2 linked regions of the Caenorhabditis elegans genome follow. The protein of the gene in region 2 purifies or fractionates together with the protein of the main gene of each other region. This does not show direct contact. Each region holds a gene or a part of one and is shown on either strand. Other genes may lie near its edges. The genes, in order: gmn-1 and ceh-32.

Region 1 (4,228 bases), on a different chromosome or scaffold from region 2:
CAATAAATGTTAAATTGACACAAAAAAAATTTTCAGAAAAAAAACCTACAAAAAATCGACAAAAATTAAGGAAACACGCACGAAATAAATTTTAAAAAACGGAAAGCTCCCGTAAATCGTCACGAAGCAAGCGCGCTCCAATGAGAATATCTGTGAGCGCGCATTTGAAAAAAATGATTCGGGCGCGATTTCAAGGTGAAATATAAAATCAGGGAAATTTGTTCGAATTTTTTCACATAGATATTCGGAATCAGGGGAAAATTTGGAGTCATTCAAGAGCATTTTAACAGTTTTTTCACCAATTTTTCAATTAAATTTTCGATTTTTCAATAAAAAATTGAATTTTTCAGGGAATGTACTTCGTTTCGAGCGTCCTATTAATGCGTATGAACGTGCCCGAGGAGTATCGAACGATTCTGACGAGAATTCTCGGCGATTTGAAATTCAACTTCTACCATCGCTGGTTCGACGTGATTTTCCTAATATCCGCCGTCTCTTCTATTGTTTTCTTGACACTTATTCACAAATCCGGTTCTTCAATGTTTAGGGCATAATTATTTGTTTTTGTGGTTTTGTTGCTGGTATTTAAATTATTTTAAACTTCGGGTCGCATAGAATTTGAAATTCATTTGATAAAAAAACATTTTAAAATTGAATTGCGTTGAAATTTGGTAAAACTCGTAAAAGGAATGAAGTAAATACACAAGATATATATAAACACGAGGTAGCACGCTCCCCTCGAAGCCGAATAATTATTCGAGCGCGCTTGCTACGCTTCGCGTTTCAGCGTCGGCTGAGTTTTGCTTTTCCACTGAAAATAGCAGATTTATCGAATTTTTAGCTTAAAATTTTTTTTCGGCTTTTTACGAACCAACCTTTTGTTAAACGGTGAAAATCAAATTTAAAATGACTAAAATGAACTTTTTTCGTCCACTGGTTGTGAAATGGTTTGAATTTGAAGACATCAGCGGGATTTTTCGTATTTTCTGAATATTTTTCGATTAGAATTCGGTTTTAAACTATTTTTGACTCTAACGTTAGGTTACAAGTGCATTAAAACCGATTTTTAATTGAAAAATATTTAGAAAATAAGAAAAATCCCGTTGATGTCGTCAAATTCAAACCATTTTACAGCCAGTGAACGAAAAAAGTTCATTTTAGTCATTTTAAATTCGATTTTCACTGTTTAACAAAAGGTTGGTTCGTAAAAAGCCGAAAAAAAATTTTAAGCTAAAAATTCGATAAATCTGCTATTTTCAATGAAAAGGCAAAACACCGCGGGCACAGAAACGCGAATCGTAGCAAGCGCGCTCTAATAATTATTCGGCTTTGAGGAGAGCGTGGATAGTAATTTAAAGTTGCGCGGTGCCAATCTCCTCATCCGTCTGTTGCTCCTCGTCAATGTCGGCGAGCACTTCGAGAAGAATCTCCGTGTCATCGTCGATTTTTCGCATTTTTTCGTCGAGATCTCCGAGTTCGGCGACGAGACGCTGATTTCTGTCCATTTCATCGTCCAGATCCATTTGCAGACGGTCAGCCATCACGCGAAGATAGTTTACAGTTGGTTTTTCAGATGTTAGATCGGCTTCTGTGATTTTTGGTTGAACGTGTGGGACGTTGATGATCGTTTGCGTGGACACTGTGCCGTACTGCAATTTTTTTGATTTTTTTAAAATAAAATTTCAAAGTTTTAATAAATATCTATTATACCAGCTGCTTTCTCGTGTTCTGATGAATTAGCGATAATATACAAAGCATTGTAGATATATTTATGCCGATAAATCTTTTTAATCATCATTTCATACCTCAAACATCTGCGTCTCCACGTTTTTTGCCTCTTGATCATCATCACAGAACACGTCGAATGGAGATAAAACCGGTGTGATTGTGGTGGCAGAAGCCAGCGGGGACGGTGTGATTGGCTGATATTTCTTGAGTTGGGCGGTGAGCTTCAGCGGTTCTGGAATTTGCTTGGTGCCGGTGGCCTTCTCGGAGCCAAATGGACTGTTGCGTGCCGAGTTGTTGAGCTGTTGAAGGCCGATTCTGCTCATCTGAAATTTTTTTTGTTGAAAATTACACAAAAATAAGCAGAAAAAATTGAAATTGCGGCGAAAAATGGTGAAAATTTGAGTTCAAAATTCAAAAAAATAGATTTACGCGGGCCCCTAGGCCCGTAGGGTCTCGCCACGAAGCACGAGAAATTAAATTTCGAACCCTGCGCCTTTAAATTTACCGTACCCCAAAAATCGATTTTTCGGTGCAATTTGGAGAAATTAAATGAAAAAATACAAAAAAAAGAAGAAATAACCAGCTCTGATGATAAAAACAGAGAAATTAAATGAAAAAAAGACATCGACAAGGAGCAAAAATGCATTTTATACAGAAAAATAAGTATTTTTATAGCAAAATTAGAAGAATCCGGATTAATCCGAATTATTTACAGGTGCTCGTGTCGGGTTCTTCTTCGGAATCGCCGTTTTCACTTGATTTTTTCAATTTTTCGTTTCCCAAATCGAAGAGTCGCGTGTATTCAGTCTGTTTCGCGTCGAGCATCTCCGATTTTCGACTTTTCTCCACTTCCATCTGCAAAATCAATCGATAACTGTATATTAATATATCGCGTTGGAAAAAAATAAAACCTTCTCATTCAACGCTTTAATTCGATCCACTTCATTCTGTCGATTTGCAACAATTGACTCCCAATACGACATTTCTGGATTTTCCGTGTTTTTTCGATATTTTGTAATCGATTCCTCTGCTGTCTGTGTTGTCATATTTTCTACAGCAATCTAAAATAAATATTTTTCAATTTTTTTTTTTTTTTTGAAAAAAACTTACCTCTTCAGTCTGACATCCGACTTCTGGGGATAAATTGTTGGTTGTTGGCTCCCCGAGCACTACAAAATCACTCATCTCGAGAAAAATCGATAAAAACTGGCTAGAAATTGGTGAAAATGGTGTTGAGAGACAGGTGTTAGATTCGAAACACCCGCCATTGGTGAAGTGCGGTGGAGCGCGAGTGCGCCGCGTGACGTCACGGCTCCGTTGAAATGCAATTACATGCAATATTATAGAGATTTTCGAATAATATAAGAAATTATTGTTAGTTTCTGAATGAAATCTGACCAATAAATGATTAATTACAACATTTTTACAATATATCGTATATTTTGTATTTTAAATTGCTCTTTAAAAAATCGATCGATACACCATAACTTTATTTTACTAGAATAGTATATAAAATTCACTTTTTTTCCATTTTAATGCCAACTTCCTCCCCCAACCAACCCCAAAATCGTTAAAAAAATCGTATTTTTCATTCACAAATGTAGTTAATTTTAAGATTTACAGAACTAATATTCTATGAGCGGAACAGGATTGTTCAAAATGGTGTTGCAACACCAATTTGACGGCCTACTCGAAGTGATGCCTGGTTTGTAATTTTTTTTTCTTAAGAAATTTGAAAAATATCTCGATTTTCCAAAAATTTTCTCTTTTTTACACAAAATTTGTCGAAAAAGATTGAAAGTAATACAATTTCGTGATTTTTGCGCCAAAACTACGGTGCCCGGTCTCGACACGACAATTTTTAGTTAAATTGAACAAGGTGTGCGCCTTTAAGGAGTACTGTAGTTTTAAACTTTCGTTGCTGCGGGATTTTCGATTTTTTTCAATTTCAAGTAAATTTAAATTAAAAATTTTTTATTTAAACAAACTTTAAAAAAAATCGGATTTCTGGCTTCCCTCCATAAATTGAAATGGAAGAGTTTTTTGCCGAACTAGGCCAGGCCATATCTGGGGTAGATTTACGGCGCGTTGCGTGTCGCATCGCGGCTCGATTATAGTCCGTGAGGAGTACACGACACTTTTCCACGCGAAAAATTCAATGAGGAAGGCCTGAACCCCGTATTAAATTACAGTAACCTTTAAAGGCGCATACCTTTTCCATAAAACAAAAATTTGTCGTGGCGAGACCTGGTACAGTAATTTTTGCGCAAAAAAATCCCCAAAATTCCAGAAAATCCCCGCAAAAAACTTCGATTCACTTCTCGGCATATCGCTGCTGTCAATCGATATCTAGATGACAAATATTTTGATCCAAAGGAAGAAAAATGGTCAAATCTTCATCCCAAATATCGAATAGTTTTGGAGAACTTGATCCGCCAAACAGGGCCTCGACTGTCCCCTCAGGTGACACTTTTCCTGCCGAATACGTTTAACGGAGCAT
Region 2 (6,076 bases):
ATGGATTACGGTAGTGCTCGCTAGTGCTCTCACTCTCTATTCGTTCGTAGAGAAGCCGCGAGAAGCAAACACCCAAGAGACACCACTCGGTAACATACCAACCCGACACTCTGGTTAGATATGTGTATCGATTTGATTGCGATGTGTAACGAAGATATATGATTGAAGAAGGGAGACCGAATACAACGATCTTCCGCATGATTCCTAATCCTGGTATCATGGGCGCGCGCTAAAAGGCTTAACGAAGACGGTCAAGGTTTGGATGACGGTGTTGTCTTCATGACTTTCTATTGATATATCATAATGTATCTTGTATTACATTCCAATAAAAAGTTTAATTATTTGTATCTTCATAGTTTTTTAACTGATTGGTATAAGTGGAAATCCTGAGTGAAATATATTAACCTATAAATTTCCGTGAGGGTTCTGATCCATGATTTCTAAAACTAAAGATGCACTCTAAATATTTGTGCTCATTGAAACTTGGTAGATATAACAGACTTGAACTGTTATTGGCCTTTCATTTAACTTGAAGCCATGAAATGTTCCACCTGTGCTAAATTTGGTACATGAATATAAGCAACATAGTTGACTGTAAAACATTATTTATTATTCATTTAATGCATTATTTCTGGGCTTCAAATTCTAAAATATATAAAGTCTCTAACCCCCTTAATAGTTTTCATCATAGTCTTTTGACTCTTCTCCAATTGCTACACTAATCAATTAATCACTCAAGCGAGCTGTCATTGCCACTTATAGGGTCCGAAATTGACTGAAAACAACTAATGGCAATGGGTCGGCGTGTGAGGAGCGATGGTAAACGAAGAAGTGGCGGGCGAGATAGAAGAAACACTAAATAAATGCCATTAGCGAAAAAAGAGAGACCACTTTCAAATCATCCATCGAGATGGGGCCTGGCGCCTCGAGACAGAGAAGGAAAAGGAGTACTTGTTTTTTTTCGTTCATCAATGCCATACAAAGAAGTACGGTAGAAGTAGTATTTAGGAAAAAGGAGACGATGAGTTGAAGAACACGTGGCCATAGAAAGGGGGAGAAGATTTGGCTGAAAGTGACAATGTCAGTAAGGAAGGTGCGAATGGGGGGAGGCATGCGTTATAACCTCCGGTTAAGAAAATATGAAGACAAAAGGGAATCGATATGGTTCGTACATATATTCGTTTGACAGAATTTTCTAAAATTGAGATATGTGTCATAACAATTTTAGAATTTGCACCTGAAACATCTTGCACACTAAATGAAGAACGAGTTCGTGTGTTCGAAACATACGGTTATTCTAGGATCTTAAAAATAACCTCTAAATCATGATGATCTGGATATTGATCTAGATAACTCTTTGACTTAAAATCTAGGACACAATATATCCTCCTCACTACACAAAACCACCAAAATAAGTGAGAAACTACCACTGTTAACAAAAACTTTCGATTTCCAGAAGACCTCACTTTCTAATTGTACAAATATATTCATTGCGGAGACTTTTCGTCCCCCGACTGATCTCCACCAACATCATCGACAACTTCATCTATTCTCTGTCCCCCACTGATTAGTTTCGCAGTTAAACAAAAGCTTCCTAATGATACTCACTTACCCAACCACACTACCCAAGGGACAAGCACGCCCCAGCAGTATCGTCTCCCGTTACCCGCATCTTCCTTTCCGATGTGGGCGTGGTTTCAGTGGATGGGGGGTTAGCCACCAACCAACCCGCGCGTCCTTCATGACTCCGCCCCCGTATCATTAGAAAGATTCGTTGCGACCGACAAGCGCATACATACATTCAACCACACCGATACATTCTTACTCAACTCCTCAAATTTTGATCCGATCCTATCTTTTTGATTTCTACTTTCAACTCACAATCTAAAACTTTTAATTGTTTTCAATTTCAGTCTGATCCCCATTCATCCTTTGCGAACATGTTCACTCCAGAACAGTTCACAAAAGTGATGTCCCAACTGGGTAACTTTTCCCAGTTGGGACAAATGTTCCAACCCGGGAACGTTGCAATGCTTCAAGCACTTCAAGCCAATGGAGCATCCTCCACTCCATCACTGTTCCCTGCAATGCCTTCAGTTATTCCATCGTTAGCTGCTCCATCATCACCGACTACCTCGAACTTGACTGCTGACCAGGTTAGTATTATTAGTATTGTTTGATTAGTTGTAAGAAATTATCATGCATAGTGCCATCATCATGGCGCTAGCGTCAAATAAATGTGTCATTAGGGGTACTGATGAGCCATCAAAGAAGAATACCGCAATAGGGTTCACTTAAAAACGAATGTTGTAGAATGAAAAAAGAAATAGAAAAGAAGATAAGTGATGTTGAGCATAAAACATAAGATGTGTTGAAAAAGAAAGAAAAACGGAAAATTTGATCAAATTTGAAACGTATCTTTTCCTCTTCTCCCTTTCTTCTTACTTCCGTTCTTCTCTTACTTTCAATCCAATCATGCTCCTTGTCTTCTCATAATTTTATTGCTTTTTGTCTCCTCTTTTCTCGCCTTCTGCAACACAAAGTGCAAACCTAAATTCCATTTAGTTTTCTTACACAAAATGATTGAAAAGTAAATGTTTTATGATGAAAAGTATGAGCCATCATTCATCTGATCATCCATCTCTTTTGTTTAAATATCAATTTTTTAGATTGTGAAGACATGTGAGCAACTTGAAACTGATGGAGATGTCGATGGACTTTTCCGATTCATGTGCACAATCCCTCCACAAAAAACTCAAGAGGTAAAACTCTCTGATGATCGGAACTTTTAAAATCATCTGAAAATTTATAGGTTGCTGGAAATGAAGCCTTTCTTAGAGCCCGAGCCCTCGTCTGCTTCCATGCAAGTCACTTCCGCGAGCTCTACGCCATTTTGGAAAACAACAAATTCTCTCCAAAATACCATCCGAAGCTTCAGGAAATGTGGCATGAAGCTCACTACCGTGAACAGGAGAAGAATCGTGGAAAGTGAGTGAAAAGTTTTTTTTCCCAAAAGGTACTCATCTCATTGTCTTTGAAAGCTATCATTAGTGTTAGAGTCTACGGTAGGATAGTAGCATCACGGCGCTATTGTATGTGAGTGTGAGAGAAGAAGAAAGGAGCCGGCTCCTTTTGCTTTCAATCTTGTCGGACAATATTTGCTTTGAAGCAAGACGCCAAGGGTCTTTCTCGCTTTTCTTCAACACACTGTTACACTGATAGGACTGATAGATAGACAGATACTTTTGTCAAGAGCATTGGAGAATAAAAACTAGAACAGTAGGAAATGTTTGAAAAGGAAAATCTTCAAAGAATTAGAACTGATAGATTTGACTATATATTCCAAAATATAAGTTAAAACCTTTAAAAAAATTGTTTTCTTTATACGGATATCCCGATCCTTTCGTTTTCTGTCTTCAAGTATCGAAAGATTCATGACCAAAATTCCTGATCTGAATACCTTCACCATTAATTTTATTCGTTTCAAAGTATTCCATCTCTTCAAAATTAGCTACATTTTGTCCTCATGTAGAAACGGTAAATGCGTGCTAATCGTCCACCGGGTCGCCCCCTGAACAAACCCGGCATTTACAAATTTGACACCTTCAAGAAAGAAGGGATAGGAGATGGCTTTTAGAGCCTTCTCGCATGCCGTATGTCGTCTTGTCGACGCAAAAAGATGCGCCCTCTAATTAGCTGATTGGCGTTGATTTTTGTGTTCACATACTACCGGCTTTAGAGCTGAAGAGCTAGTGTTCATGTACCATATGTGCGGCATACACAGTACTGTTAATCGGATAATTTGTTTGACTCCTCTTCCGACAAGGCAAGACGTGTTTTAAAACATTCAGAGGATTATCTCCTATTGTATTGAATCCTCAAAATTTTCAGATCTCTTTGTGCAGTCGACAAATATCGTGTTCGCAAGAAGTACCCAATGCCAAGAACAATCTGGGATGGAGAGCAAAAGACACATTGCTTCAAGGAGAGAACAAGATCACTTTTGAGAGAATGGTATCTCAAGGATCCATATCCAAATCCACCAAAAAAGAAGGAACTCGCAAATGCAACAGGTCTCACACAGATGCAAGTTGGAAATTGGTTTAAAAACAGGAGGCAACGAGATCGGGCAGCAGCTGCAAAAAATAAGTGAGTTGGATCGAAATTGATTTCTGCCGTTGTTTGAGTCAATCTCTCACTTTTGTGGCTTTAAATAATATGAGACTGCGGCACTGCCTTCCCTGTTGATTTTCAATTTTTGAGAATTCATAATAGTAGTTGTTGTAGTAATGGTAGAAGTTTGAAGACAATTAAAAACGGATCAGGAAGTGTCTTCTTCTCAATTTCCTTTTTCTCGACCTTATGATCCGAATGTAATCTGTCTCTTCTCTTCCATAATCTCGAAATAGGAGAATAATTACCCCCTATGCATTTCAGTTTTATTTTCTTCTTTTTCAGGCAAAACATCATCGGAGTGGAATTGAAGAAAACATCGTCCGACATGTCAGATTCAGATGATGATTTTGAGGATTCAATGACTGATTCTCCAAGCCCAATTGATGAACCGAAAGATCTCAGCAAAAGTCATATTCCAAAGCTCTCACCAACACTCTTACCTAAAATGGCGACTCCATTCGATATGTTCGCAGCTGCAGCAAATCCATTGATGATGTTGAACTTGAATCCAGCTCTCTACATGCAATTCCACAACTTTTTCAACACAATGAGGAACCCACAAATTGACGAAGAAGAAAATAGCGAGACAACGGTTGAAGTTGAAGCTGATATTGAGCCACCGAAGAAACGATCAAAATTGAGTATTGATGAGATTTTGAATATCAAATCAGAAGTGTCCCCTTCACAATGCTCACCCTGCTCCAATGAATCACTTTCTCCAAAGCGAGCGGTAAAGACAGAAGAAGTGAAAAAAGAGGATGATGAGGCTGCTGAAGAAGATTCTCGAAGTGTGAAGAGTGAAACATCAGAAGATCCAAAACATTCATCACCAAAGTCAACGACATCTCAATCTGAGTAACTCTTCCTAGAAAATTGTAATTATTTTTGTAGTTATATATACACTTTTTGAAACTTTTTATTATTATTTTCCTCGCATGGAACGTTTTCCAATTTTTCTTGATTCCGGAAAACAATCAAATCTCAGTTCAGAAACGTTCATGTCAAAGAACAAACTCACAAACGTTCCCATCTTTTCAGTCCAATGTTCGTCTCAAATCCGGTACCATATTTTCATACTTAGTTGTACTTTTTTGAGCTTTTCCTTCTTCACTTCCTCCCGCATTTGCCACTCACTTTGAACCTCAAATTCTGATTTCTTCTATTCTTTTTTGTCCACAATCTTCAGATGATTGCTACACCGCTTTGATGCATTCCCTCTAAAAATAGCTTTAGCGGCGTTTGAGCATTCATCTGCTAGACCCTTCTTACCCAAATGTATTATTTTTTTTTCATTCATTCGTTCAAATATTTAAGAAATAATTATCTATGATCATTATTTCCAAAAACTCAGATCTAATAAATAGTATTCAATATATAATATCTGGATTTTTTGACTACTGTATCTGTGAATTAATAAACACAAAAGAACATTCCGAAGTAATGCGAATCTGCAAAATACCAAATACTTTGTATTATATAGTTTCTTTCTAGGAAAAAGTGATTGACCCAAAATATAAATATGTTCGTCGTCGATCTTTAAAACATTTTTTGTTGGGCTGAACAAGTACTAGAATGAATATATTTAGATGTTACTGTGTATCCTTTACTGGGTTCATAGTAATTATGATACTGTATGTCTATTACGTAATAAGGTGGTAGCAGTGGTTGAATAGTACTCGAAGCAATCTCATGATAGTATCCTCTTGTATTGGGTGTCAACTCAGCTCATAGTTCTGGTTTTGTGTGTACCTGCACTCATGTCTCCTTACAAGTGTTTGCGATGCACAGTTCATTGGTCTCTGGTAATTTAGAGCCTGAACACAAGTTTTTGGTATCAATTTCAGTATATTCTACCGTAGTCATTTCCACGTCATAACCTCATCGCATCATGAGTTATTCG

Evidence for each region.
Region 1: the proteins of ceh-32 (region 2) and gmn-1 purify together in Caenorhabditis elegans (affinity purification with western blotting, with the first as the bait; one study listed by BioGRID). This does not show direct contact.

What each region holds. Positions count from the first base shown.
Region 1 is NC_003281.10:12,223,281-12,227,508, forward strand, and holds gmn-1 (Geminin homolog), read right to left. Parts: upstream 2,052-4,228; coding exon 1,806-2,051; intron 1,650-1,805; coding exon 1,353-1,649; 3' UTR 608-1,352; downstream 1-607. Other genes in the region: gphr-1 (Golgi pH regulator), read left to right, coding at 351-554; Y75B8A.18 (Clathrin light chain), read right to left, coding at 2,434-2,583, 2,640-2,789, 2,839-2,913; Y75B8A.19 (RING-type E3 ubiquitin transferase), read left to right, coding at 3,388-3,433, 4,019-4,228. UniProt on the Caenorhabditis elegans protein: Inhibits DNA replication by binding to the DNA replication licensing factor cdt-1. Its interaction with cdt-1 prevents the cdt-1 loading of the mini-chromosome maintenance (MCM) complex onto DNA and therefore DNA replication licencing.
Region 2 is NC_003283.11:11,701,238-11,707,313, reverse strand, and holds ceh-32 (Homeobox protein ceh-32), read left to right. Parts: upstream 1-1,913; 5' UTR 1,914-1,940; coding exon 1,941-2,156; intron 2,157-2,412; exon of another isoform or gene 2,413-2,549; intron 2,550-2,669; coding exon 2,670-2,762; intron 2,763-2,812; coding exon 2,813-2,988; intron 2,989-3,891; coding exon 3,892-4,149; intron 4,150-4,458; coding exon 4,459-5,035; 3' UTR 5,036-5,550; downstream 5,551-6,076. UniProt on the Caenorhabditis elegans protein: Transcription factor which binds a motif with the core sequence 5'-GTATCA-3'. Plays a role in head morphogenesis. Involved in embryonic development. Required for cell specification of the RIA interneurons.